4 linked regions of the Lytechinus pictus genome follow. The protein of the gene in region 3 purifies or fractionates together with the protein of the main gene of each other region. This does not show direct contact. Links are inferred from orthologs where the notes say so. Each region holds a gene or a part of one and is shown on either strand. Other genes may lie near its edges.

Region 1 (7,691 bases), on a different chromosome or scaffold from region 3:
TTTTCCAACTATTTAGAAATTCACTTGCCCGACCGGGCAAGTGCTTCTAAAAAGTTATGTAGCACCCTGAACAAAACAGCAAATCGTACATTGAAACTCATGCATGTATCATTAAGAATATTGAAAGGATAAGAAATACTAAAGATTTATTCATTTCCACAATCTCACAAGTGAATTTCTTCAGACTCACCTTGTTCTGACAATATCGAGTGATTTTTCAAAAAATCTTTGTAGAGTTGTTCCAATGCTAAACCTGCATCTGCATCATTATCCTCTAATGCTTGCAGACTGTCTTTCTTAGGGTATCCACACCTAAACACCAACAACAAATAAAAGATATCAAATGTTGCCAAGTAAAGACATGCTTGATTTTTTTTTACTTGCATCTACATGTATTAAGAAGCAAAGACCAGAATTAACCAAATCAAATACAAGTATACAGAAGCTAAAAGGAACAAACAGCATGAACTCTGACCTCTGATTGGTACACAGAAGATAAAGTTAAATGTAGTGGTATTAGAAGAGTCGTGTTGCTATGATAAACTAACCTGATAAGTTTCTCCACAGCATATTTACTGATCTTTTGGGTATCATCTTTGTTTTCTCTATCATCCTCTTCCTCATGCCAGACACCGAGAGGGGTAAAGCTTGAACCAGATGCCTCTACCTTCAGGGAGTTGTCATCAGTCCAGAAGTGACGATTGGTATCATAATCAAGCTCTTCGTAGTCTTCTAGTCTGCAAAGCATGAGATTAAGGGACAGTGATTATTTCAAGTACAGGATATTCTACTGACTGTGTGTAAACAGGGTACTTAGATCATGGATATTGCATCCTTGATTTTCATACATTCTACAGAGTGTTCTCCATCGAGAAACATTGTAGTTGCTAACAATGCCAGGCTGTCACCGAGTATAACTAATCTTACATACCCTGTGATATCATTAAAATGTATTACCCTCCTCCCTCTTCCTTCCCCTTTCTTCCTCGTCCTCTCCCCCTCTCAATAGGATTTGTCAACAAAATAAACATAGACGGAAAGAAAAATAAGAAAAAGAATGGGAATAAAAAATATTGGAGCGTTGCTAGAAACTTCCAATTTATTGGATGTTTATGTTTTTTGTCTTAGTTCTATTGTTATTATCCTCAAATTTGCAGAACAATAAATTGGCACATCTCAAATATCTCACTTATCACCTAGACAAAAATTTAATAAGATCCCCCATCCCCCTAAAAAACAACAACAACAAGTTTTCTGTGTGCACAAACTACACATCATGAATATGCATCACCTCATTTGCATATCTCATTATGTATGCAAACTTCAATTTTTTACATGATATGGACACTTTAGAAACACATCCCATTACAGAACTGATCTCACTATCTTCAAAAGTTATCTAAAATGGACATAAAGATGATTTTGTTTTTTTATTCATATAAATCAAGCAAAAAATAGTGATTTATATTTCACTAACCACCACACAAAAATATGGTGAAATTTCATAGATGTGAGGCATCCCTTCATGTACCATGCCTTAAACTAATGAGTAAGGAAAATAACGAGCCTAGGTAGCCCTAGGTTCCACAGCTTATTAGTCTGTGAGGAATTTCTTTAAGGGGACAGGTTGCCCTTGGTGTGGCCTACCATACTTCGGTGGGATGCCCATGATTGGTGATCTTCCCTCGTCCCCAAAATATAATCAAAAGTCAGGATAGGTTGTAAACTCTTAAGGTTTCCATAGTGTAAAAGAAGGGTGTAATAGACAATCATATGCCCACAAAATAATACATGGTGTACTGTGCCCCACTACACTCCAATGAGTGTAGTGGGGGCACAGCATAGCTCTAATCGGGACCAGGTATCACGCACACCTAGCCTGTAATCCTACCCCATGTCTAGGTCCAGGTCTGCTCCATGTAGTTCCCTCAAGATATCCTTGACTAGTTCCTGGTTTTCATCACTCATATGGAGGGACTGCATCTTGACCTTGGAGGGTTGATAGTTGCCTCTCCTGCGACTAGGAGCATTGGATTGATAAGATTGGTAGGCCTTTGGTTGGTGAGTTTGAGGTGCCTGGTAGCTGTGACAAAAGAAAAACACAATGGAAGTAATGTGTAAATTGTAATGAATCACTTCAATTTCATTTATTTAATTTGAAATTGACTGAATTATTTTAAGTTGAAATTGCAGATCTGCATAAGAAATAATCAAACATACACAAAAAAGTAACTTCACTTATTCTATCCAAAATTCTATCCAATCTCATTTTTGTATTCTATCCAATCTCATTTTTGTATATAATTGTTTTAATATTGAATGTTTAACGTCCAATCAAAGTTGTTTCACAAAATTTCAAACAATCAATATGAATCTTCATATTATTCTAATAAACCTCCAAAATTAGATGAAATTCATTTAAAATATAAGATAGATCACTCAATCAAATAGCAATTGTCAATCAAGTTTATACATGTATTGCAAAACAACTATTGGATAATATTTTCCAACACTACCTGGATGTCTTCTGCTTGTCCTGTTTGGGCATGAGTACAAAGTCATCATCATCATAGTCATAGGACATGGATACACTCTTGCACTTCCTGGCTCCTGTGTCTGCCACCGGTCCATAGGGCTTTAGGTTTGACCCTGGCTGCTGGCCTCCACCACCTCTAGCTCCTCCTCCTCTTCCACCACGGCCACTACCTCTTCCTCCTCGTCCTCTCCCTTCTCCACCTCTACCTCCTCCTCCTCTACCTCTTCCTCCTCCTCTCCCTCCTCCTCCTCTCCCTTCTCCTCCTCTCCCTTCTCCTCCTCTCCCTTCTCCTCCTCTCCCTTCTCCTCCGCCTCTTCCTCCCCTTCCTCCACGGTTGGCCCTGCCTCCTCCCCTGTTCGGCTTGCCACCCCTTCTCACTGCTCCTGATGGTTGGCTCATGGTGTAACCGTGTTAGGCTTACTGAAGTCAAAGCACTGTAGAGAGTTTAGGGTGCATGATCATCTAGTATATCCTTGACAAGGCGAATCTATGTAATATAAAGATATATTAATAATTAATCAGAATTCAGAAAAAAAATACATTCCCTTATGAATTTAACCAGTGGTGTAATGTGCAAAAAATCTTGAGGGGGCCAGATATGGTGTATCGGGAAAAATTATTGAAAACTTACAAGTGAATGAAGTGAGCGAGCGAAGATATCTAACATTTTAATTACAAAAATCCAATTTTGTAACAGATGTTGACATAATATTTTAAGAATAATATCATATTTCACCCTTCTCTCTTTCCTGTTCCTTTTTCTTGGTCGAGAAAAAATTGAGGAGGGGGCAAGCACCCCCCCCCCCATCTGCACATCACTCATTTTAACTTTAAAAACTTATAAAACAAGTGGAATGCCTCTGGCGGTCTCACCTGACCTGCATCACTCGATTCAATATATTAGCAGTGCTGACTTTCAAAACTACTATAAAATAATTATTCACAAAAAACACCATTCATATAATGATACAATACTACGTTCATTGACATTTGACCTTGATCATGTGACCTAAAACTTGTCAGTGATACTTGATTACCCCTATATCCACATTTTATACACTATATCTATAAACTCTGAAAGTTATGACAGCAATCTAATGATTACCTCTAAAATGGCCAAAGTTCAATGAACTTAAATGACCTTTGACATTGGTCATGTGACCTGAAACTTTGATGGGATCTTGATTTCTCTTATGTCCAAGTTTCATGAATCAAATCCATAAACTTTCAAAGTTATTATGGTAATTCATCAGATACCCCCCATATTGCCAAAGTTCATTGACATTTGACGTTGGTCATGTGACCTGAAATTCGCAAAGGATGTTCAGTGATACTTGATTACTCTTATGTCCAAGTTTTATGAACTAGACCAATAAACTTTCAAAGTTATGATGGTAATTAAACAAATACCCCCAACTTGGCCAAAGTTCATTGACCTTACATGACCTTTGACCTTGATCATGTGACCTGAAACTCACACAGGATGTTCAGTGATACTTGATTACTCTTATGTCTAAGTTTCATGAATCAGATCCATAAACTTTTAAAGTTATGATGGTAATTCAACAGATACCCCCAATTTGGCCAAAGTTCATTGACCCTAAATGACCTTTGTCATGTGACTTGAAACTCAGGCAGGATGTTTAGTAATACTTGATTAACCTTATGGCCAAGTTTCATGAACTAGGTCCATATACTTTCTAAGTTATGCTGTCATTTCAAAAACTTAACCTTCGGTTAAGATTTGGTGTTGACGCCGCCGCCGTCGGAAAAGCGGCGCATATAGTCTTACTCTGCTATGCAGGTGAGACAATAACTTTTTTTGATCTGTTGATGGATTTAACTTAAACCTTCACCAATATTTTTCATTACTTTTTCTTTGATTTTATAGTTTTACAATAAACTTTTTATCAGGGTTAACCATGAACTTCCCTTTTAAAGGAAACCAAAACCCAAGAAGAGAAGCAATCTTATTGGAAATAGTAAAATGAGTTCATCAAAATCGGTTATGAAATCAGCTAGTTATGGAATTTTGAAAAATCTACTTGTAGGATGGGGGGTCGGGTGTCCGGACACTTTATATTTTTGAAGCCTTTTTTTGTCTTTGGATTACATGAAAAAAAAAAGAATTCAATAGTTGTAATCATCTTCTATTTTGTTCTCTAATTTCCTAACATTTTGTACTAAAAAATGATGAAACTTTGCTTGTAAATTTTTCCAAATGACTTTCTAAAATTGATCGTCCGAACACACAACCTGTCCGGACACACAACTGGCAGACTGGGTATACTTTCTATGCCTATATGGATATGGGGATTCTCAAATTGGCAAACATGCTTCAAAATGGCTGATTTTGTGGACATTTCTACGTAAAGAATGGAAATTTTAATCAATTTTCGTAATCGTGAACAGGATAGCTATATAACTAAACCATGTATAATTTGATGCGAGCGCGATGCGAGCGCGAAGCGCGAGCGGAAAAAAAATCGAGATTTAGACCTAAAAACGGGACACTCTATTCACGTTTTGTAAATCATGAAAAGAATGAGTAATAGGGGATCTTCGTACATTAATAATGCGAGCACAAAGCGCGAGCAGAAAATTTTTGATATTGTGATTTTAAACTGGAAAATGATTTAAATTAAGAGAACAAGTTGAGTATCTGAATAAACATACGCGCGTGTTTCATATTTAGACCTAAAATCTAGGCATTCTAAATAATCTTTTATCATGAAAATCAAAGTGAGCGCGAGCTTAAACTATTTGATATTCCGATCTGAAAAGAGTTTTTTATAGGACTGGGACATCCTTAGGACATGTCATCTTATGAAAATATTGACTGTCTTCCTATTCCTCTTGCTAAGCGCGAGATGAAACAATTAAAAGGGACAATTTGATTATTTAATTGATATCTTATTCATTAATGCCTAATGAGGGCACGAAATCTGATGATATTATGGCCTGAAAACTGGACATTCCAAGCACTTTTGTAATTATAAATAGGATGCAAGTTAATATATTTAAATCATTAAAGCGAGCGCAAATTGTGAGCCTATTTTTTTATACACTGTCATGAAAAGGGGATTTTAAAGGTCAAGTCCACCCCAGGAAAATGCTGACTTGAACAAATAGAGAAAAATCAAACTAGCATAATGCTGAAAATTTCATCAAAATCGGATGTAAAATAAGAAAGTTATGACATTTTAAAGTTTCGCTTATTTTTCACAAAACAGTGATATGCACGACTAGGTGAGTCAGTCAATGATGTCCATCACTCACTATTTCTTTTGTTTTTTATTGTTGAAATTATACAATATTTCATTTTTTATAGATTTAACAATAAGGACCAACTTGACTGAACCATATAGTATAAAACAATGCTAATTCTACATGTTCAGGGAGTAATTAATCGTTGTATCACTTGACAATGAGGAGAAAATTAGAATATATCATATTTCATACAATAAAATACAAAAGAAATAGTGAGTGGATGACGTCATAGTCTCCTCATTTGCATACCAGCCAGGATGTGCATATAACTGTTTTGTGAAATTAAGCAAAACTTTAAAATGTCAGAACTTTCTTTTTTTACATCCGATTTTGATGAAATTTTCAGTGTTATGCTTGTTGGATTTTTCTCTTTTTATATAAATCAACTTTTTGTTGGGGTGGACTTGTCCTTTAAGTAGTTTGTTGTATAATCAATATTGAGACAACACAACCTGACAACTCGCCAATCAAAATGCAAGCGTGCAGCGCGAGCTGATACGTTTTTACAATGAGACCTGAAGAGCGATATTTTGAAAATTTTAGGGAATACACGAAAATAAAAGGTATGATGGGGTGTCCAAACTTCGCGCACTTTTCAAAAATATTCATCAGGCTTAAATTTTTTTCACAAAATATTCATAATTTATACAAAACCAATTAAAAAAATAGTTACCACATTGACGGCAAGATCGTAAACTATAAAATCATGGACGAAAACGTAAAGTAGGTCAAGGGGATTCGCCAGTATCGCGATCTCAAAATTCTATTCCGATCGGCGAATGCGCGCTGTGCTGGATAACCGTTCAGAAAAAGTGTGACCTAACTTCGCGGACCAAAGTTTTTGCGGACATTTAAACAAAAACTCAAGCTAAAAAAGTGAAATATTTATATCAGATTGATGGCAAAATGCTATAGAATCGGTTAGTACCACATTTTAACTCACATTTTTGATGATTTCTGCTTGCAAAATGGTGATATCGTGATGCTTGTTGAGAATATCAGATTTCTTCAAAACGGGCGCTAAACGTGACAAATTTGACGATCTTTTCATGAATACTGAACTCATCCTAAAGAAAATTACACCAAAGGGTAATTTTAGGTCGCTTTTCACGTTGATGTCAGATTTTAAGGATATTGGCTAGTTTTTTAGATAATGACCGTCCGCGAAGTATGGACACGCGCGAAGTTTGGACTCACTGCCATACCTGCAAGATAAATCAAAATTTGCGAGCGCGCAGCGCGAGCAGAAACTTTAATATTCAGACCATAAAACTGACATTTTTACCACTCCTAGTACCAATGAGGTCCAACATTACATGTATGGACCTCATAGGCGACATCAGTAGTATTTTTGGTTAGAAATCTCTGAGAACAGGATATTTAAACATTATATCACAAGTACAAGCTATAATTCCTTTCTCTTATTTAAATTATAATTTTATAGTGTAAATGCATCGTTAGCAACAACAAAAAATGAAAGAAATGAAGGGGAACTTACATTTTCACCGGTATTTTATAGATGGCAAATATAGCGATCTTCAACGCTTATATATAAGCGTCGAAATTTGTAGCCATCTCCTTGTATTAGTCTATATTATACGACGTGTCAAATTGTAGCGAACTAGTTCGCTATTTCCAGATCTCCTCTATATATATATACACGACGGGAAATTGTAGCGAACTAGTTCGCTATTTTCCAGATCTCCTGTATATACATACGATGGGAAATTGTAGCGAACTAGTTCGCTATTTTCCAGATCTCCTCTTAACGACGGGAAATTGTAGCGAACTAGTTCGCTATTTTCCAGATCTCCTCTATATACAGCCATCTCCTTGTATTAGTCTATATTATACGACGTGTCAAATTGTAGCGAACTAGTTCGCT
Region 2 (7,434 bases), on a different chromosome or scaffold from region 3:
GAGGTTTCATAACAAGATTATTGGAAGACGTGCAAGTCGTAAGAAATAGACAGAGAACTGGGGGGAATTGAGGTCACTGAATCTATTTTTAGCACTCTCAATCCCGTAATTGCCGTCTTTGTCCCGCAGGGGTAAGTGAAAAAAAACAATCCCCATAGACAAGGAAAATCTCAATTTATCAAGACATGATTTGTCTTGGTTTATGAGGATATCCTTGTTTCCTCACTTTTCAGACAATCCCAATTTATGGACCAGCGCCTCTACTGTTCAATGTACCAGAACTACTCAACTAGATCTATGATAATTATGGCGGCATTTAACCTTGATTTTAAAGACTTTCTCATGAAATCATTGTTTGCTGGTCAGAAAATGCCGCCCTCTAGATGCGTCTTGCAGCTAAGCTACTAACAAAGAGAACAAGATGGGGTCGTAAATGGTTTTTCCCCCATCTTCTCATATTTCTCAGCATGCTCAGTTTTTTAAGTTAACTTAATGAATATTTAAAAAAAAAATCAATAATATTAGGTTCTAGGACTACTTACTAACTTAGCTTACCAAAATATTGAATTTGGCCAAGCTATCTCTGAATGTCAGTGTTTGATATTTTTTCTTCTTTAGAAAGAAGTTCAATTTCGTTTCAACAATTTCAGAGCTGCAGCTGCATGCTGGCATCCAGAAAAGTTTTGAAAAGAATTTGGAAAGTCAAAATTGCAACTGTTTTTCTAGACAGCTGGCAGCCATCTGTTTCGTGGAGTTTGTAAACATTTTTTTTAATTTCTCCTCGTACACAGACGGCTCGCGATTGTGCAGCCGCCATTAGGGGGTAAACAATGCAAAATCCCCCCCCGACGGGGCTCATCGATCTTTGTCTGTATTTCATAAAAATATATAAAAAGAACTGGGACAAAATAAAGATAATTATTCCGTTTTGGCCTGAAATGCACCATAACGGGAAAAATAAACTAAAAGGGGAAAAAACAATGACTTACTTTGGCTGTCGCGCGACTCCCACTTCACTGGTTTATGACACTCTAGGCGACACCGCAATACTTACCCGTGTTAATAAAGTGGGACTCCGCTCACGCGCGTTTGGGCCTCCCTAGCTTAGAACTAAGCACTAATATCACCTTAAAAACTAAATCTACAAGGTATGTATAATCTATTTAGTAATTTGATAATGTTTAAACGGTACTCACCAGTTCTTTTGATGTATTTTCTCCAGAATTCCCACGGATTTGTCCCAAATCTTGCGACAAACCACGTCGCGGTAGACAGCTGTACATTTTTTTTTATTTATAAATAAAGCGCCCCTTACGATAGTTGTTAACAACGCGGCCAAATCGTTAGGTTTTTTGCACTGTGTCCAAGGCTTTTTTATTTTGTTTGATTTTTTATTTTTTAATAAATATTTTGTTCAATAGCGATTTTTACGTCAAATATTAAATTTATATCACAAAATATTTTTTAATTGTAGAAATATACATAATATTATGCAATAATTTATTCTATATATATTTTATAATAAAATTTATAATTGTTGCGGTCTTTAAAAAAAGGATAGTCGATTGATCAGGTGATGACCACACGTATCACGTGATCTGAAAATCAGCTTCATACCGCTTTGATCGCACTCAACGGTGACCGGACTGACTGCCAAAAAAAGATCGAAAAATGACTCAAATGTAAGTTTCCCTTTATTTTATTAAATTCAAATTAGGAATAGGAATATATTTAATGGGCAATCTTTTAATAAATGATAAACAAACGAGGACAAAACTCATATTTTGGGAGTAATATCATACTTGGGTGCAGGAAACAGTACAGTTAGAAGTTCTAACCTGTTTTTAACGCATTGTCGCCTATGAGGTCCATACATGCTAATGTTTGGACCTCATTGGTACTAGGAGTGGTTTATGACTATGTCATGTGAACTTAATACATAAATATATGGCCATTGAGTCCCTGTACAGATCGAGTTAGAACTTCAGTCTCTGTAATTGGTGAGTGGAGCCAACGGAATCCGGCGGAACAACCAATAATTCAGAGACCGAAGCTTTTTGGTCTACTGTTTTTCAATGTTTTTGCCTTGGAGTTGGACTTTCTAAGTAAATCCTCAGTAGAGGCGCTGGTCAGAAAATTGGGATCGTCCCAGTTTACAGGGACTGTCTCAAGTTTATAAGGATTTCTTCACACAAGAAATCTAGGAAAGTTCATTCACCTGTCAAGTGCCAACACCAATCAAGTGTGCTAGTCAATGTAAACATATCGGGTTTCATAACAAGATTATTGGAAGACAGTAAGTCATGAAAAATAGACGGTGAACTGGGGGGAATTGAGGTCACTGAATCTATTTTTAGCACTCTCAATTCCCGTAATTGCCGTCTTTGTCCCGTAGGGGGGAGTGAAAAAAAACGTCCCCATAAACAAGGACAGTCTCAATTTATCAAGACATGATTTGTCTTGGTTTATGAGGATATCCTTGTTTTCTGGGACAATCCCAATTTTTGGACCAGCAGCGCCTCTACTGATCCTCATCATCATGATCATAATTCATATGTCTGATCCAGGCACATCTTTTGTATTTGTATTTAAACTACTATTTTTCTCATATCATATCTGGTCGGAATAATGTGCTATTGGAAAATTTTACTTTTCCGCGAATTTAAGTCAAAATACCATTTTCCATGCCATGCCCATGGTCATGGAATTGCCTTCGCACTTCTCGGGTTCGATCTTCAGACACGAATGTCAATTGATGGGACCGAAGTAATACTCGTGAAAAACATGCACATCTTCTGTGAATTTAAAACACCAATTTAGCAACCTGAACTAAATATTCAAATCTAATATTATCGCAAATACTACTAAGATGGTCTAAAATGCGTTATTTCAGTGAAAACGCTTTGTTCAACTTACCATGATTGCGTTTTTTTAGGTTTTTGACGTCGCGTTATTTCAGAAAAGCTTGCACGAGCTCATACAATATCCATTATGGTATTCGTGAGGGGAAAATTGAAAATTTAAGTCCTTTTGACTTAACCTGTGAGAAGGTCGTGTCCCTGTGTCATGTTTCCTATCTCTTATCTTATCTTATTTTATCTTATCTGAGTCTGCAAATATATGTAACGAAATTAAATTCATTAAACAAGATATGAAAATTTTGTTTTTGAAAAATGATGCTAAAAGTCACAATCTCCACCAATCGTTATTTTTTAAAATTGTAATTATAATATATAGGCCCGGAATATAGGCCTATATATACAGCCTGTACACAAAAAATCAGCAAATGATCCAAATCTTCTTCTTCTCCTTCTCCTCTCCCTCCTCCTCCTTCTTCTCCTTCTTCTTCTTCTCCTTCTTCTCCTTCTTCTCCTTCTCATTCTTCTTCTTCTTCTTCTCCTCCTCCTCGCTCGCTCGATCGCATTGCCTGTTATGTGATTTACATATCCTGCTCAATATGGAGCTTAAAATATCAAATTTTTAAGTCAATATACGTGTACAAAACATATTTCAGCTCGGAAATATTTCACTATTTTGTTTTATTTACAAATCGATTTTTAAAAAGTGCTCGGTAAAAATTTATGTTTTATGGTCTGAATATTGATTTGTCATGTTCCTATTATTTATAATAATAAGCATTAATTTATATAGCGCAGCTTTTATATGGATATATTCAGCTGCGCTTGTTCAGAGCTCTTTTTACTTATGTCTACACAGCATATTTTCTTAACTAAAGAGATATGTTTTTAATTTTGATTTGAAGAGAGCCAAGGATGGAGAGCTTCTTATATCAATTGGCAGGCTATTCCATAGTTTGGGGGCAGCAAGTGCAAATGCACGATCACCAAGTGTGACTTTTGTTTTGTGAAATGGGATCTGAAACAATAATTTATCTGTGGAACTTCGCAGGCTTCGACTGTGTGATTGGGTTTTAAGTTTGAGTAATTCTGTAATGTAATGTGGGGCTTGACCGATTAATGATTTATATACAATTAACAGAATTTTGAATGAAATTCTTTGACGTACAGGCAACCAGTGGAGTTCTCTCAGAAGAGGTGTAGTGGAACTGAACTTTGGGACACTTTCCTGTATTCCATAAAGTTCTCAATATATCCCTTTTCAGTTCAGATTGTCAAAACGTATCAGCTAACGCTGCACGCTCGCATTTTGATTGGTGAGTTATGTATATCTGAACATTAGTTCTATACCAAACTACTTAAAATTCCCATTTCATGACAGTTTTTTTTTTTCGGCTCGCGATTTGCGCTCGCATTGATTGTTGAAAATATATTAACTCATGCATCTCAAAATTACAAAAGAGCTTTAAATGTCAGGTTTTCAGGCCATAATATTAACAGATTTCGCGCTCTCCTTAGGCTTATTAGATTAATAAATAAGATATTAATTTAATAATCAAACTGTCCCCTTTTTTCAGAATGGAGTATCGACAAGTTTCATCTCGCGCTTAGGAAGAGAAATAGGAAGATAGCCATCATTTTCATATGACATAATGTTCTTAGAATGTCCGATGGTCAAAACTCATTGTAATAATGAAACATATCAGCTCTTTTTTAACTGTGATCCATATCCACCTCACAATTTTCCTACAAAGTCAATAAATTGACCCCTTTTCAGATCGGAATATCAAATACTTTAAGCTCACGGTTCGCCCTCGCTTTATTGATTGATAGAAAAAAGCCGAATGCCCAGATTCTAGGTCGAAATCTGAAACACGCGCGCGCATGCTTATTCAGATAAGCAGGTTGTTCTCTAATCAAATCATTATCAAGTTTCAGATCACAATATAAAAATTTTCTGCTCGCGCTTTGCGCTCGCATTATTAATGTAGGAAGATTACCAAATGATCCTTTTCATGATTTACAAAACATTAGTGTCCCGGCCATTTTTTCTAGGTGTAAATCTCGAGCTTAGAGCTCGCATCAATTTTTTTTTAGTTATATACTTATCCTTTTCACGATTACAAAAAGTGCATAGAATTTCCATTCTTCAGGTAGAAATGTCAAAATTTTCAGCTCGCGCTTGGCGAGCTGAAAATATTTGACATAAAAACAAATACCTCGCGCTTCGCACTCGCACTATCTAAATAATTAGAAAGTCAAAAAGGGGCCTAAGCTTTCGATCCTAGCAGAATCTTCGTCGGAGGCAAAATAAATAATTGTGAGATTATTATTATATTTATGTTGATTTATAAGAATAAAGCTTAGAAGTGACTATTAGTACTACCCCTTCAAAGAAACAAACAAAAATCAACTTCGAGAGGCCGATCGGGGAAAATGTGGCTGAAAATAAATTCCGCCCCCCCCCCCTATTGGCGAAGGCTGGATCGCCCCTGTATCAATATGATATTCATACCATGGAGCTATTAAGAGCTCTATGTTCATACTATCATCTGAGTCACTGCAATATATTAACAATTTCGGCTCGCGTTTAGCGCCCTCATGTACTGTTTAGTTAGATATGCATATTGTTCATGATGCTTATCAATTGTAAACTTAAGATACACACCCATCCTGTTCATGATTACATTGCTTTGAATGTCCTATAGTATTTCAAGTCAGCTCGCGCTTAGCGTTCTAATACCATGTTCTCATCAAAATGGGCTTGAACTGTTTTAAGGTATGAATTTAAATAAAAATCAGATCACGCTTTGAGCTCACATTAATATAATATTGTTTGATATCTATTTCTGATTGCAAAAAGTGGTTAACCTCTCCAGTTTTCAATCAGAATCTCACAAATTTTTAGCTCGCGGTTCGCGCTCGTATTATTTGATTGGTGAGATATATATTCTATTCATGAGTCACTGTAAACAGTTATTAATAAGTCCCTTTTCAGGTAATAATTTCAGCTCACACTTCGCGCTCATATGTGAATTGTTTAGTAGATACGCATCTAGTTCATGAAAAGCTGCTCAAAATGTTAATTTTTTGGTATAAACATAACAAATATCCCCCCAAAATGGGCTCGCAGGGTAAGTTATATTAAGGCTACATGAAATACCTTACCTTGTTTCTGAGAATAGTGGCGTAATGAGCCAAAATTTTGAGGGGGCTCGATATGGCGTATGTGTAAAATTAAAGGGGAATCCAGCCTTGGCCATAAAATGTTGTGTTGGGAAGGAGAAAAATAAATTAAACAGAATGGCGAAAGTTTGAAAGAAATCGGACAAGCAATAGGAAAGTTATATAGCTGCTTTAAAATTGAGATCACTAATAGTATGTAGATTTCAAATTGGCAACTGGCTAAGTAAATTATGACAAGGGGCAAGGACAACTTTCCCATAGGCCATGTACTTTATTATCAGGGATTTGTGGTTTTCTCCTAAGTACCCAATCCCCTGGGGCAGTAATCTAAATATAATCCAGGTAATATATTGTTTTATGTCCTCATGAAAGAAAAATATAATTTGAAATAAAACTTTTGGGAAAAATGAAATTTTAGCCATAATATTAATTGGAGTACATGGAAGAGTAGTCCTTGCCTTACATCACTATGACATCCCATATGCGGCCAATTTGAAGTCTCCATGGGTATAGTGATTACCAATATTTATAACTTTTAAAAATTCATAACTTTCTTGTTGTTTGTCCAATATTGTTCAAACTTTCACCTATCAACTTGTCTGATTTTTCTTTTTCTAATAAAAACAAGTTTTTATTTGGGTTGGATTCCCCTTTAATAAAAAGTTGCATGCGAGCGAAGCGAGCGAACAAAAATTTTGACATCCAAGTTTGTGATAGATTTTGAAATAATGTTCAGAGAGATATATAGCTCAGTCGGTAGAGCGGGGTTTTCGGATTCCAGTGGCCTGGGTTCGATTCCCACTTGGTGCGCTAGTGCCCTTTGGTAAGGCATTAATCCTCATTACCAGGTCCCTCGGAGAGGATTTTAAGCTGTTGGTCCACCGGTTGCTTGCTTACAAGCATTCATGCTTTCTTAGCAATCAGGTAAAAAATCACTACCAGTCATATTTCCCCCTTATCCCTTTCCTTTTCTTTCCTTCCTCTATTTTTTTTGGGGGGGGGGTCTTGAAAAAAATTTGGGGGGGGGGGGCATGAGCCTAATCCTGCTCATCTGACAACTTACTGATGATGAATCATTAAAGGGACAACAAACAATTTCTGTGATTTTTTATGGAGATTCGAACCTTGATAATCTATGTGCCCTTTTATATAACTAGCTGGTTAAATTAATGTATAGATCAAGGTGCATACGTTTGAGGCGACTTCAAAATGTTGGAGTATTTAGATTAGTCCATCTTGTAAATTACCGTAAGACATTATGTAGAAGAAAAAAAAGGAAAGGAAAATATATCATTCTCTGAAAATTTTTCGAAAACTGGTACCGCAAGTAGTTGCTCGTTCGCTTTGCTCTCTCTCAGAGCTTTTTTTTTAACTGTCTAATAGGACCTAC
Region 3 (7,761 bases):
CGATTAATCGCTAACCTTTGTGTTACGGGACCCAGGTGGGGTTCACTAACTTTTGAGCACCACTGTGTAACCGGGGAAGTAGTCAATGCTGGTGCTTCCGAGTCATGAGGTCGCTGTGCACAGAGAACCTTTTCCCATAGACTTTGAACATGTGACTCGGGGCGAGTGCCGGTCTTGACTACATCCCAGCCTATAACCCAATACATTGCAGTGGATTTAATGACAAATTCCTGTTTGCCCTAAAACATTTATGATGTGACGGAGAGGAAAGGAAATTGTGCTTTACAGGATAAATTTTACAATTCTACATTAAATCCAAATAAAAAACCTGCATTTTTATTCTTTGAGAATAAAAAGATACAATCTTTATTTGAAAAAATGCTCAAGCTTTTTTTTTTAAAGAAAAATAAAAACACAGCGAGAGAGGGCATCAGATATCTGAGAAAGGAATGCTTGAAATTCCAGAGAGAATCAATGGTTGAAAAAAAATCAATGGCTAAGTACACTTCTGTAAGATTGACATGTCAAATGGACGACAATGGTCAGTTGTAACCCTAACCAAACGTTTGAGCCAGCTTTAAAACTGACCACAGACTTACATCCATCTTTATTTTTAGACATTTCTTGCTTCAGGAATCGATCTTTCCTCAAATTGGCATCGCTGAAGTAAAACTCGATCTGCTGACTGACATCAAGTATGATTTTCTTATGGCGCTTTCTCCTCCGCTTCTCCATCGAGGCATCTCCAAGCGACGAGTTGTCTTTTGCTTCTGCTTTATCTGCTTTCATCCTGCAGATATGGTACAGATGAAGAAAAAAAATTAGAACTTAAAGCCCAAACTAACAGAGAGGTAACATGTTCAACTGCCATCAAATATCTAGGAATAGTGTTAGGGCGACATTTTATTGGAGCTGTTTTTGGTTCTTATTTTCACAAATATTTAAAACAATCATCTTTCTATCAGAGGGCATGGGTTTGAATCCCAGCCATGGCGTGTTTTCCTTCAGCAAGAAATTTACCTACATTGTGCTGCACTCAACCCAGGTGAGGTGAGGCACCAGGCAGGTTTATGCCCTTGAAAGCAGAGTGCTGCAAGGTACATGTAGCTCGGGCTAAAGCTGGGGTAATAATTTATAATAATAATAGTGCACCTCGAAATGGATTATTTCTAGATAGATGGCGCTATACAAATGCCTATTATTATTGGTAGTAAAACACTAAAACTAGTAATAATGTATCGCCCGGGTAATTTGTCAATTATTCATCAGGAATGATGATGATCCAGAGTGAGACTCAAAGAGTCAGACAGCCAGGCCCATATTCCAAACCTGGGTTTAACTAAAGTCTGAGCTAAATTTTTGTTGTATTCAGACGTGAAAGCAGGACATTAAATGAACACGCTGCATATCTTTAAAAAGAAACTAATTAAGTACCGAGTGTGAACTGAATTATTTCTTTCTTTAGACTTGAAAAAAAAAAACGAATTGTGCCTAGTAAGCATAGCGTGCAGGATATGATTAATGTGAGCGAGAGCATTTTTATAAGCAGAATTTATTTTGGCATGTGACCCAACAGGATTGCTAAATATGCCAAACCCCTCCTCTCACTTTCTTTACCACTCTTCCTCCTTTCAATTTTTCTTCCTAATTCTTTTATCGATTCCTTCCTTTTCTTGTCTCTCCCACTTTTTGGTTTTCTTTTTTCTTCTCCTTTTCTTTTTTTTTTCTCCTGTCTTTTGTGCCACCAATTATGTGTAGGCCTCTTGGGTCAGAGCTCTTATCTCTTTCTATTTCCCTTCATTTATTAGGCATAAATATATATATATTTTTTTTTTTTTGGGGGGGGAATGGGGAAGTATATAAAGGAAGCAAAGGTTGTTAGGCTCATATTCCACGTCCTGGACGATTTTTAATGATTGTGCAAACCCTTTGCATCTATCTAGACCCGCACGCACACATTTACCAACACACATGACACACTCCAACGATTCACGTACCACCAGTGATTCACCTAACCCACTGATTCACTTTCCGCGAAAAAATGTGACTATTCAGGGCGTGTGTATGTGTGTTATGGGATTGGTAGTGTGTTATGTGTTTGGTAGTTGCATACATACAAAATATAAAACATTCCAGGAGGTGGACTATTAGGCTCATAGATTCGTATTTTTTCAATGTTTTTTTTTTTAGGGGGAGGGGAAGGACCGAGGCTCCCTCCCCTGGCTCCACTTCAGCTTCAATCCCTGGCTAATTATGGCCAAACAAAAGGACCAGTCCAGTAGCGTACGTCAGCCCCCCCCCCCCCCCCCATTTGGTATTTTTAAACCCAAAACTCCCCTGAAAGAAATCAATTTTTTGCTTGTCAATTTTTTTGGGGGTAAAAATTTCCTACCCAAAAAAAATTGACAAGCCAAACTTCCCAAAGACAAAGTCTTGAAAAAAAATGTTATTTTACTGTGGCTATATTTAAAGGAAACGACCTAAAATTTTGGGGTCGTCAACATTTCATTCGGCTTGAACCCCCCCTTTCAAAAATCCTGCATACGCTACTGGGCGAGTCATTATTTCCGCTATCATGAAATTTGTCACCAGTCCCCGACGTTCATTTTCAGATTCACTGCTTCAGCCTTCGGCTTCACTTCAGATCACTGACTTCATTATCATTAGTGCATGCTACTGACAGCTTTCCATAATTCCATTCCCATAGACTTTGTACAGAAACGAACGCTGAACGATTAGCCAGCGCCAGCTCAGCAGGCCAAGCAAGGCGACAATAAGTTCAAAACAAATGTAAATAGTGTCCGACTTTCCATCACCCACACGACAAGATTACCGTATGGAAGTTTCTTACCTAAATGATTGTACTTACTTTTAGAATACAGCAACAAAATACACGTAGTATATGTCTAGGAGCTAGTATTTAGATGAAATTTGAGACAAACGCCGTGTTCACGCAAGATTTTCTTTTACAGCTTTTAAGTATGGAACGCTATTTATTACGTTCGTAAACGTAACACCACTTCGTTACTTTGTTGGGAGTTTGAAATTTATCCCGAATTTATCATACACGAGGCCGAGGGGGTGTTGTTTTCTTGAGCTTGCAATGATGGGGCCCCCATGGGGGGCAAGCACGGCGAAATCATTTCTTTATGGGGGGGGGCAAACCTCCCAGGAGGCCCATCGATTGGGTCCTTTGGGGGAAGTGACCAAGTGACAGGTTACTATAAATAGGAAAGACCGGGGACATGCAGAATAATCAACTTTACTAAATACTTGCTTCAACTTGAATAAAATGAAATATGCATATCTAATTGGCTTGGCATATATCTTATATGGATAAATTTGGGTTAACTAATCTAGAAGCTAGCTGTTATCCGGGACTGTTATATCATTTCTCAATTCACAATTGCCCCACACGGCCGGGGTATAGGCCTTATAGTAACATCTAAATCATTTCTGTCAAATGATTTTGTTACCAAATCGTTACTGTCGGTTTATTTTGTAACAAAATCATTGCAGTCGTTTGATTTTGTATCAAAATCCGGGGGGGGGGGCACTTCCACTTAACAATTAAGTATTGGAAACAAAACGATACTCTTGGCAAGTATTCCCTGAATTGGATCCCTAAACAAGTACCGCAGCGATAGTTCTGTTTTATACCTAATTTACCTGACATCGTTGGGTTTAATTAGTTCAGCACCACCTGCCACATACCCACTAGCGTACCTATGGGGGGGGGCAGGGGGGGCACTCTGCCCCCCCCCCCCCCTGACGAGTCAAAACCCATGCAAAAACGTATCTTTGCCCTGACGGGCTTGTATAACCTTTTTTGCCCCCCCCCCTGACGAGCTTTAAGACCTTCAATGCCCCCCTGACGAGCTTGAAGACCTTTTTTTTTTTTTTTTTTTTTTTTTTTTTGCTTGTCAATATTTTTCTGGTACGAAATCCTTTATTTGTGATCGAAGACCCTTTTTTTTTTTTTTTCAAATTTTTTGGCGGACGGTTTTGCCCCCCCCCTGTGGAAAATCCTAGGTACGCCACTGCACGTACCTCCCCCACATCTCGCGCAAATCATACTCTAAACAAGTAGAGTTGACCCTTGGGGCATTATAAAACATTTTAGTCTTCATTTTTGTACCCTCGCAAATTTGACCCTAACACGTGCGTAGCTTTCCTATAGCGAAAATAGATAACCTAATTTTAGTGTTTTTGACACCCTTAATACGTTACGTCCGTAACGTGCCCTATCTTGAAAAAGACATCCTTTTTACGTGTTTTTTTGGTCGCGCATGGTATCCACTCGTGAATAAGTGCCCCCCCGGGCCCCCCGGGACCAAAACGATTTGGAGAGTGTTTTTGTTACAAAATCATGCATTTATTTTAACAGAATAGGCCTACTAATTTACACTTGTATATCCCACATGATGTGCACCTCTTAATATTACTCGCCATGAATTGCCTCGTCACACACACAAAAAAAGTAAAAATTTGCCGGGAAAATTAGCTTCTGAAAAAAAAAGAACTACTACTGCCCAGTAAGATTTGGTGTGCCCCCACTGAAAAAAATTGGCAGAGCAAGAAAAAGGGAGAAAGAAGAAAAGAAAAAGAAGGGGGAAGAAAGAAGAAGAGGGAAGAAAGAAGAAGAGGAAAATAAGAGGAGGAAGACGAGTGAATAAAATAATGGGAAGACAAAAGAAAAAAAAAATTCATGTTGCTTCGCGCTCGGATTGCCTTTTCGATGAGAATCATGTCTTGCTAAAAAGGGTGATATGGAGTCCCAGGACCAAAATCCAATTGAAACCAGTTGGATTTCCAACTGGTTTCAATTGGTTTCAATTGGTTTTAACTGGTTTCAATTGGTTTTAACTAGAATTTAACAATTTCCAGTTGAAACCAATTGAAACCAGTTGGGCAACTGGAAATCCTAACTGGAACCAGTTGGGTAACTGGAAATGATTTTTAACTGGAACCAGTTGAGTAACTGGAAATCCCAACTGGAACCAGTTGGGCAACTGGAAATCCTAACTGGAACCAGTTGGGTAACTGGAAATCCTAACTGGAACCAGTTGGGTAACTGGAAATGACTTCCAACTGGAAATGATTTCTAACTGGAACCAGTTGGGTAACTGGAAATCCTAACTTGAACCATGCAGTTGTTTAACTGGAAATCCTAACTGGTACCAATTGGGTAACTGGAGATGACTTCTAACAGGAAAGATGGGTAACTGGAAATGAATTCTAATTGGAACCAGTTGGGTAACTGGAAATGATTTCCAATTGGAAACCAATTGGAAATCATTTCCAGTTACCCAACTGGATCCAATTGAAACCAGTTAATTTGCATATTATCTGCCAGTGTGCACAGATTAATGTTTTATGAGATTCATCATCATTAACAATGTATCTATTTAATTCTTTTCAATTTCAAGTACCACATTTTTTAAAGATAAGTATTTAAAATACTTAGCAGTGAAAACCATGTTCATAAATGTCATAGATTATAATTAAAACAGATTAAAGGATAATTAGTACACCACTAACTGTTACCAAATTACATCAAATAAAAATACATATATTTGAAGATCTTCCATATAAATATATACATATATGAAAGTCTGTATTTTATCAATGCCCTTTACATTGGTATTAATAGACATATAACACTGCTTCTGTGTTGGCATGAGCAATAGTTAGTGCAAATGCTAATTCATTTGTAACTAATTAAGTTCATTCCAACTGGAAGTTCCTATTGGATCCAGTTGGAAACCAATTGGTTTCAACTGGTTCCAGTTGCCTCCAACTGGTTTCAACTGGAACCAATTGAAACCAGTTGCCTTCAATTGGTTTTAATAGGGAAATTGGAACAACTGGAACCAATTGACACCAATTGCCAACTGGTTCCAGTTGCCCAATTGGTTTTAACTGGAACCAATTGGCAACTGGTTTTCAATTGGAACCAATTGGTTTTAACTGGAACCAATTGGCAACTGGTTTTCAATTGGAACCAGTTGTTCCAATTCCCCTATTGAAACCAGTTGGCCAACTGGTTTCAATTGGTTTTGCCCTAATTGGTTTTAACTGGATTTTGGTCCTGGGAGTCGTCATGTATGTTCCTGCATATATGTTCTTTATTTAAAATGTGTTTGAAATTATCCAGTATCAGATCAGAACTTTTATTTTCTGCTCGCGCTTCACGCTCGCATTATAATACCCAATTAACCATATCCTATTCATGATTTACTAAATATGAATAGATTGTCCCGTTTTAAGGTCTAAAAACTCAAATTTCTTCCGCTCGCGCTTCGCGCTCGCATCAATTGTTTAGTTACATACCTAATATCCCATTTCACATTACGAAAAGTGCTTAGAATGACCATTTTTTTTTAGGTTGGAATGTCAAAAATGTTTAGCTTGCACTTCGCCCATAATAATTGTAATATGTACCTTCTTCGTGTGTAACTATAATTAAACAGTCCTTAACAGGTCCCTTTTCGATCATGCCAGAACATTTATTGAAAATTTCTGCTTGCGCTTGGCGTTCGCAGTAATTATCTAGTGTTCAGGATCACAAACATTGCCCAGAATGTAAGATTTTCAGGACAAAATACATGAAAGTTTAAGAAAAATTAGCTCACACATCGCGCTCGCACTTTTTATATAGGGCTTATGAGATTAATCTCATATTGTTTAAAGCTAAGAAGTGACCGATCGGGGAAATATATAATTTTGGGCCCACCCCCTAATTGGCGAAAGTCGGATTGGCCCTTGTGACACGCACAGAAAAAAAATGTTGCCCCCCTGAAAAAGCAAGGACCCCCCAGTGCCCCTCCAGGAAAAAAATCCTAGCTACGCCACTGTACTATATAGTACTCCCTATAAGGGCCTAGTCTGATCTAAGAACTCAAAATTAAGTTTACAGCATATTCTAACCAAAACCAGTAAAAAAAAAAAAAGTGAAATAGAAAAAAAAAGATGAAGGAAAAGAAGCTTTTCATCCTCTCAAAGAAGGCTCCAAATCAAAGCAGTGGCAAAAATAGTCATTTTTTTGACTGGTTGCCAATTAATACACCACAACTCAAAGACAGCTAACAAAAGAGGGAGAAGTGCTTGCAGACGACACTACGTCCCTGGATAAGCTTTGCACACGTCCCTCTCCCTCCTCCAGCGGGCCCCGCCCCTTTTTGCCTGACCAAGCGCCTTTCTTCGGGCGGCCGCAGCGCCGGAATATCGGCCGTGGATGCCCGCCTGCCCGCCTCCGACTCCGCCCCCGTGCCCGCGCGCCGCCGACCGCTCCACGATACCGCATGTTTGCTGTACTGGAATTTCTAACAGGAGTCAGGAGAACAAATTGTCCGCTTCATCAAAGCTAAATTTTACGGTTTCAGAAACTGCCCAAGGATTACTAAGCTGACATGGCTGATAGTACAGTAGGAAAGGTACCGGTACCGTATTGTATCTTACCATACCTAACTTAGTGTAGTAATCGTAACGTTAAGTTAGAACTTAGATCGTTGTTAAAAAAAAAAAAGCGATTTGTGGAAGTTTTGTGCATGTGTTGTGTGCGGGTGCATTGCCATTGAGGAGAAACTAAATATGCACAATTATTCTAGGAAAAATTACTAGGGTCTACCGTATATGTTTTTTAAGAGATGTGAAATAAATGAATTTGAATTTTACATGATTGATTTGCATCATGGGAGAGGCGCATGGCAATTAATATGGGCATGATGGGAGACTCCCTCCATTCTCCATCAACCAATT
Region 4 (7,445 bases), on a different chromosome or scaffold from region 3:
TTTTAAAATAATGTTTCTAATTGTGCTATGACACTTACCGAACCATATGGATCGTTTCTTGACTTTTCTTTGGTGTGTTTTTAAGAAAAAAAAAGCATTTTCTCGTGATCTTCACGTAGATACCGCAGGGTCATCGTGGTTGTAAACTTTTGCTTAAAGAGGGCGCGCGATATTATTCACAAGATGTTTGTTTACGGTTCTGCAGCTTGTCCTGCTAGCTGCATTTTAGACGCTCAGCATTATTTTCCTCTTTCTTTTTTTTTTTTTGCTGTCAAGCGGTATTTTCTATTGTAGCGCCATCAGCGATGATGAAATGTAAAGAGTCGCCTTGAAATGAAGAAAAATTATGTCACATTAATTCGTTAGTTTGTTTCCTTTTTTTTTTGCACTTTTTTCTTCTTCCTCATCTATGATCAAAGGTGAATACCTTTTTTTGATATCTGTTCTAAAAGCTGGACATTTTAAATATTTTGTTCAAGTAAATAAATCAACAGGATAGTAATCAAAATGCGATAGAGCTGCCCGAGCTGAAAATTCTGATACAAGGACTTGAAAATAAAAAATTCTGAGCACTTTTTATAACCATGATGAGGAGACCTATATATATATATATATATATATTTATATATATATGTATATGAAATAAGCTAACACGAAAAAAAGACGTTTTGGGGACTGTTAAATAAGAATTCATGAGTGGGATAGGTAACTATCTATTCTATTCTTGTTCGTTTTCTATTATTATTTATGTGTTGTGTTTATTTTTCTTGAAGCACCAAAAGGTGGACATGTCCGCTAAGATATATTAACGAAGTCACCATTATTATCACAAGCTAACGGATCAAAATGCGAGCGTGAAACGTGAGCTTCTTTTTTTCTTAATTCAGTCTTAACGATACTTTTTCATCATATTTTAAAGGTGAATCTCATGATTCAAAATGATAAATGCTTGTCGCACGGGCAGAAATAGCGGGACCAATAGTTATTTTCAATATTCCGAACTGCATTCTGGACGTTGTATAAGCGCCTTTGTATAACAATTAAAAGGGTAGGCCTATTTACCTTACAAATTATGCGAGCGCTGAACTTTTGGACATTTAAACCTCAACAAATGGACATTTTTAAAATATAAACAACATCATAAATGTCACTTACAAAAATGATACCAGCGCGAAGCTCGCGCTTAGAGTTTTTGATATTGATGACAGGACTGTATCTAAATGAAAAATAATGCATTTGCGCTTAAGATTTAAATTTGGGATTTGAAAAGTCCGACAGATTACCTATACTTTTAAAAGAGGAATGACCTCCAGAATTCAAGCGCGAAGCACCAGTAGATTTATGTTGAAGTTTAGACCTAGAACAGGGACGTTGAACCTTTATAATCATGAAAAAGATGGTATTTTTATAAATAAAACATGCGAGTCTAATTTTGTTTTAGTGTTAATATTCAGATCTTCAAACTTGACATTTTCCTATCCCCTTCATCATCCCCTCTCCTTCTCCCTTTCCCCATTTTCGTTCTCCCTTCTTTTCTTCTCTCCCTTTCCCTTTCCCTTCCCTTTTTCGCTTTTCCTTTCCCTTCTTTTCTTTCCTTTCTCCCTCCCCTACTCTTTTCTCGCTCTTTCCATTTTTCTTTCCCTCTCCCTTCCCCTCTTCCTTTCTTTTGTTTTCTTTCTATTTTATGGTCTCTATTTCCCTCTCTCTCCTCTACCTTTCCCCCTCCCCTGATCTGTCTTTTATTGTCTCTCCTTCCCTTTCCCGCCCCCTCCATTCCCTTTTATCGCTTTTTCCTTTCTCTTCTTTTGCTTCCTTTCTCCCTCCCCTACTCTTTTCTCGCTCTTTCCATTTTTCTTTCTCTCTCCCTTCCCCTCTTCCTTTCCTTTGTTTTCTTTCTATTTTATGGTCTCCTTTTCCCTCTCTCTCCTCTACCTTTCCCCCTCCCCTTTTCCTTTTCCTTTCCCTCTCCTTTTTTGTGCAAACATTAACACGAATATCTTGCTTCCTACACACACACACAAACGCCCGCAATCTAACACACGTAATGCGAAACAATCGGGACATTATCATTTTGTTCATATATATATATGTATATTTTCTCAATGAACATTTTCATCTATTTAAAGCTTTGAAAATTATTAAACAATGATTCCATAGGCGAAATCTCAACGATCATTAGGAAGGTACTTTACCCATTTTCATTTTATGTCATTGTGATTATTCCATACTAAGGCAACATATTTTGGATATAAAAATACGTGAATATGTTCCTCTTCTGTTTTATACTTTAACAGAAAACATTTTGTTCAACCAAATTATGATTTGTATTTCCAAGTTCCATGTAATATTTTCATTGGAAAATCTCTTAAAGGTCAAGTGCACCCCAGAAAAAATTGTTTGAATAAATAGAGAACTATGTTGATTTTTGGTACAATTTCCTATTATGCGCCGACGACTTGAATCGAGAATGTTCGATAGGAAAATTTCGCATTTCGATTGTTGTTTGCGTAATTTCCACCGCAGTACGAAGGATGACTAAGGACGGACCGAGCGAAGTATCCTGGTTGAGATTTGGAGGTAAGCGATAAAAACACTTTAATAAATAATTTGTAATTTCTTTTTCAAATAAACTTAAACCATACGATCAAGATTAACATACAATGACATAGTGGACAAATATTGAAAGGTTTGGCGTATAGTCCCTCACATTCGTGTGATGAATGAAAACGTCAAAATGCACTATGAAATCACATGTGTTGTGCGAGGTTAGTATACTAACCTCGCATGTTGTGTGAGTGGGTGGAGCGTAGTGTAGCGGTAGTGATGTGAAGTGTGGAGCCTGCACGAACATCGCCCGAGGTAGGTGTCAGCGAACCTTCCAGATTCTCCAGGCCGCTGGAGACGGGGCACGGGTCTTACACCGGCACCGCATCACCAGACAACAGACACTGAGTCTGAGAAAGGCATACAACTTAATTTTTGTTCTTCTCTCGCGCTCTCTACCATCATCAATAATCAGCCAATTCGGCACAATTCATATATCTTCTCCATAGGATAAAAATCCTCACCTTAGTTCTAACTATCCTTTGAGTTTTTGTCACTTTACGCAAGACCGGGGGCCGATTGCACAAAAGGGTCTTTCCAAGGACCGTCTTTCGTGTCGCCCATCTTTTATGATACGCCATGTGAAACGCATTTCAAATAAATTATCTGCAAATATATTTTATTTGTCCGTTATAATAAACAAAATATTTGTTTATAAAATGATGTGATATCTTATTAAATACTATAAAATTTGATTCAAAAGCAAGCTTACGAATTTTATTTGTTTATCATAAATTTCAGAAATACCCCGCTTATAGCGCACCATAAAAGATGGGCGACACGAAAGATGGTCCTTGGAAAGACCCTTTCGTACAATCGGCCCATGGTCGTCTAGTGCAGCACGTGTGTCAGTCACCGTACGTCTGTCGATCCGAGGCCGGTGTGTGCGGGCGATCGACCGGTTAAGGGACCGAACCGAGAACGCGTGCCCGACGCGACGGGCCAAAATGATGGGGGGGGGGGGGAGACTGGGTAACTGTCCCTGTTTTTATTTATACACGCGGGCGATCGACCGGTTAAGGGACCGAACCGAGAACGCGTGCCCGACGCGACGGGCCAAAATGATGGGGGGGGGGGGAGACTGGGTAACTGTCCCTGTTTTTATTTATACACGCAGTAAAAAAAGGGGGGAAAGTGGGAGAAAAGGGAAAAAAACAAGAACAGAATGAAAAGGAAAGGTCGGGCCTAAATTAAGTACCGTAGTACTTATGAGAAATGACATCCCGTCTTGCCCCCCCCCCCCCGATCAAACTATTCCTTGTATATCATCTTTTTACATAATATTTATACATGCATGTATTTTATCAAAATCATTGTAATATCATGGATGTAGAAATCCATGGTAATATGGTATATTGCAAAATGTAAAACACTGTTCACAAAAAATAAATAATCACCTTAATTAACATCGTAATTTGTTAACTTCGATAATTTTGTTCTTGTACGATCAACATATAGGTGACAATCAGTGGCGTAACTACGGGGGGGCATGGGGGGCACGTGCCCCCCCCCCCCCCCCAATCGGCTGGCCCCCCAAAAAAAAACGGGGAAAAGGAGAAAAAGAGGGAGAAAGGGAAAGAAACGTAGTGGGGAAAGAAGAAATTATTGTTAATTATAATGTTATATTATGTTATATAATTATGTTATGTTATATTACATTTAAAAAAATTATAACTTTATGAAACATAATTTGCGCAGGGCCTATGTCTTCATTGTTCCTGGTGCTCGCATTGTATGTTTAACAAGATATATAATCCTGTTGTACTAAAACCTCCCGTTTTCAAGTCAATATACACCAAATATATTTCCTCGCACTTCGAATTATTATTGTTTATGTAGTGACATATGCTTCTATTTCATGACTACTTAAAGTGATTGCCCCATTTTAAGGTCTTAATGTAAACCATTTCCTGTCCGTGCTTACGTTCGCATTCGTGGATTGGTGAGATATGTCTGTTCTTCATGAATTCCAAAAATCAGTCGTTAAAATGTCCCTTTTTCTGATCTGAATATCAAAAAATTTCAGCTTGCGCTTCGCGCTCGCATCATTTGGTTAGTGAGATGCGTATATGATAATGACTACAAAAAGTGCTTCATGTGTCATTTACATGTAATTCTAACAAGATCAGCATGCGTTTGGCACTCGCATTAGATGACTATGGTGAGATATGTACTCTTAATGGATTCCTTAAAAAAATAGTCCTTATATCCCTGTTTGGGGTCAATGATATGCAAAAATTTAAGCTTGCGCTTCGCGCTCACATATTTTTGTTAGTGAAATACGTATGATCTTCGTGAATTCCTACAAACAAGCCTTGAAATGTCCCTCTTCAGGTCTGAATTTCCTAAATTTTCAGCTCGCGCTTCGCGCTCGCAATATTTGATTAGTGAGATGCGTATGTTAACCATGATTACAATGATTACAAAAAGTGCTTCATGTGTTTAGATGTATATTATTCTAACAAAATCAGCAAGAGATTGGCACTCACAATAGATGACTATGGTGAGATATGTATACTCTTAATGGAATCCTAAAATAAAGTCCTTAAAATGTCCCTGTTTGGGGTCAATATATAAAAAAATTTCAGCTCGCGCTTCGCGCTCGCATGGTTTGTTTAGCGAGACAGGTATGTATTATGATTACAAGAATTTGCTTATAATGTCCTTTTTAGGTCTGAATTTCAAAAAAATTCAGCTCGCGCTTCGCGCTCGCATTATGTGATCAGTGAGATACATATCCGTTTAATGACACTGTCCTGAAAATGTCTCTTTTATGTCAGTATACCTGGCAACTGAGCGCACTTCGCGCGCTCTTTAAGTGACTCAAAATTTTTGCTGGTTCCCCCCCCCCAATGCCGTGACCCACGGTACGCCAATGGTGACAATCAAAATACACACTTGGCCATCAGGATGCAGGGTATCTAGGGGGAGGGGGCACGTACCCCGGTTCCACTTTCATTGGGGGCGCAAAAAAAGGGAAATTAGGGACGCAAATAAAAAAAGGAAAGCAAAAATTAAAAATAAATAAAGAAAGGAAAGCCCCCCCAAAAAAAAAAAAAATTAATAATAATAATAATAAATAAATAAAATAAGTAAAAACTTAGGTAAAGAAAAAAATTAAAGGCGCAGAAAAGCCACTGAAGGTGATCCCGTCCTACGTTCGGTTCATTGCCATTTCGTCTATACTGCCATTTTGTCCACTCACCGCATGGTCTGATATGTCATTTCGTCTACCATCAGTTGGTCTACGTACTATCCACATCGTCCAATTACCATTTTGTCCAATAGCCGGATTTCCATTTCGTCTATTATCACTTTGGTCTAATAGCCATTTGGTCTGATTGCTTTATCCCCAATATTATTGGCCCAATAGCCACTTTGTCCATTTTCATTACGTCTATAATTACCATTTAGTCCACTAGCCAAGTGGTCTCAAGGCAAATGGTCTATGTTAATGACCACTTAGTATAAACCCATTTCGTCTGACAATTTGGTCTAATTGCCATTCGGTCTAGTCACGTAGGTCCAATTGCCATCTTGGTCAATCATCATTTCGTCCAATATTAATTTAGTCTATACAATCATAAATAGCCCTCTATACGTGTTCGGTGCGTGTGTATATTGCCGACTCGACTCCTGTTGCTCTTGTGATTTGTTATTAATTTACACCTGTTGTTTGGTTAATCTTTTATATAATTGTTTCAGACCTGAACAAAGTATACATGAATAGGATATAGGTACTCCACAAAATAAAACAATGCGAGCGCGAGCTGATCTTTTTTCATACTCAGACAACCTTAAAACGGGACATTTTACCATGTTTATACTGAGCACTTCTTTAAAATCCCTTTTAAAACCATTAAGAATAAAAGATTGGTGTCCGAGTACAATTGACTTTAAAACTGCACCCATTATAATCCATTATAATGAAGATGTACAGTATCTCATCGAACAGGCAATGCCAGCGCGAAGCACGATCTCACGTAAAATTTATGATACTGGAAAAATGTATATTTTCCAGGTCTTCCCCTCACGTTGCATTCACTTGTCTTCCTCCTCTTATTTTACCTTGTCCTTTTTTTCCCTTCCTTTCCCACTTTTCTCTCATTTTTTCATTTTTGTGCCGCCAATATATAGCTGTTATAGTTATTATAGTACCATTCTTATTTATTACTATTATTACTGAACATTTGATTTTATTTTATTTATTTATTTCCACATTCCAATAATAAAAGTATATACAAGAGTAATCATTTTTTCTTAGCATAACATATCAATAAGCAAATGACATATATAATGAATAACATATGCCGTAAGGGCACTAGTATTCAACCCGTTTGGAGAGTTTCCTCAAATATATAGAAATATGGAATTTACCTTAATTTCGGACCTGTCTTATTTCCAATAGCAAATGCTGGTTATTCTTTTTGCGTTATTTTTTTCTTCAACCCTTCAACTGCGTGCGCGGGTGATCGAATTATACGGCGATGGTTTTTTGCACTAGTATTCAACCTAGCGATGAAAGATGGCCCTGTCTCTCAATCTGCTCTTGTCCCATCCGACTATGGACTAGACCATTTGAGATGAGACCAAACAGGGATTAGTCAAAGCCAGAGACTTACATAGATCTAAACCATTTTGAGATTCGCTATCTATCATCACTAGGTTGAATACTAGTGCAATTCAGTGCAAAAGGTCATCGCCGCATAATTCGATCCTCCGCGCATACAGTCGACAGATTGATAAAGAAAATACCAACAACAGATTACCCTGGAAATAACAAAGGTATGAAATTAAAATAAATTCCCTATTTCTAAATATTTGGGGGAATTTATCAAAAT

What was found.
Region 1: the proteins of la-related protein 7-like (region 3) and putative ATP-dependent RNA helicase DHX57 purify together in Homo sapiens (affinity purification with mass spectrometry; 3 studies listed by BioGRID and IntAct, with this or other methods). This does not show direct contact. The link is inferred for Lytechinus pictus from reciprocal best matches to the Homo sapiens genes LARP7 and DHX57.
Region 2: the proteins of la-related protein 7-like (region 3) and protein LTV1 homolog purify together in Homo sapiens (affinity purification with mass spectrometry; 3 studies listed by BioGRID and IntAct, with this or other methods). This does not show direct contact. The link is inferred for Lytechinus pictus from reciprocal best matches to the Homo sapiens genes LARP7 and LTV1.
Region 4: the proteins of la-related protein 7-like (region 3) and ribonucleases P/MRP protein subunit POP1-like purify together in Homo sapiens (affinity purification with mass spectrometry; 3 studies listed by BioGRID and IntAct, with this or other methods). This does not show direct contact. The link is inferred for Lytechinus pictus from reciprocal best matches to the Homo sapiens genes LARP7 and POP1.

The regions. Positions count from the first base shown.
Region 1 is NC_087251.1:25,962,687-25,970,377, forward strand, and holds the start of putative ATP-dependent RNA helicase DHX57, read right to left. Parts: upstream 3,021-7,691; 5' UTR 2,936-3,020; coding exon 2,517-2,935; intron 2,084-2,516; coding exon 1,892-2,083; intron 1,687-1,891; exon of another isoform or gene 1,533-1,686; intron 738-1,532; coding exon 549-737; intron 313-548; coding exon 191-312; intron 1-190. UniProt on the Homo sapiens protein: Probable ATP-binding RNA helicase.
Region 2 is NC_087261.1:15,872,608-15,880,041, forward strand, and holds the start of protein LTV1 homolog, read right to left. Parts: upstream 3,001-7,434; 5' UTR 2,920-3,000; coding exon 2,917-2,919; intron 1-2,916. UniProt on the Homo sapiens protein: Essential for ribosome biogenesis.
Region 3 is NC_087262.1:10,071,010-10,078,770, reverse strand, and holds the start of la-related protein 7-like, read right to left. Parts: upstream 3,001-7,761; 5' UTR 2,870-3,000; intron 791-2,869; 5' UTR 790-790; coding exon 600-789; intron 1-599. Other genes in the region: alcohol dehydrogenase class-3-like, read left to right, coding at 7,413-7,436. UniProt on the Homo sapiens protein: RNA-binding protein that specifically binds distinct small nuclear RNA (snRNAs) and regulates their processing and function.
Region 4 is NC_087261.1:30,211,812-30,219,256, forward strand, and holds the start of ribonucleases P/MRP protein subunit POP1-like, read right to left. Parts: upstream 3,005-7,445; 5' UTR 2,852-3,004; coding exon 2,780-2,851; intron 1-2,779. UniProt on the Homo sapiens protein: Component of ribonuclease P, a ribonucleoprotein complex that generates mature tRNA molecules by cleaving their 5'-ends. Also a component of the MRP ribonuclease complex, which cleaves pre-rRNA sequences.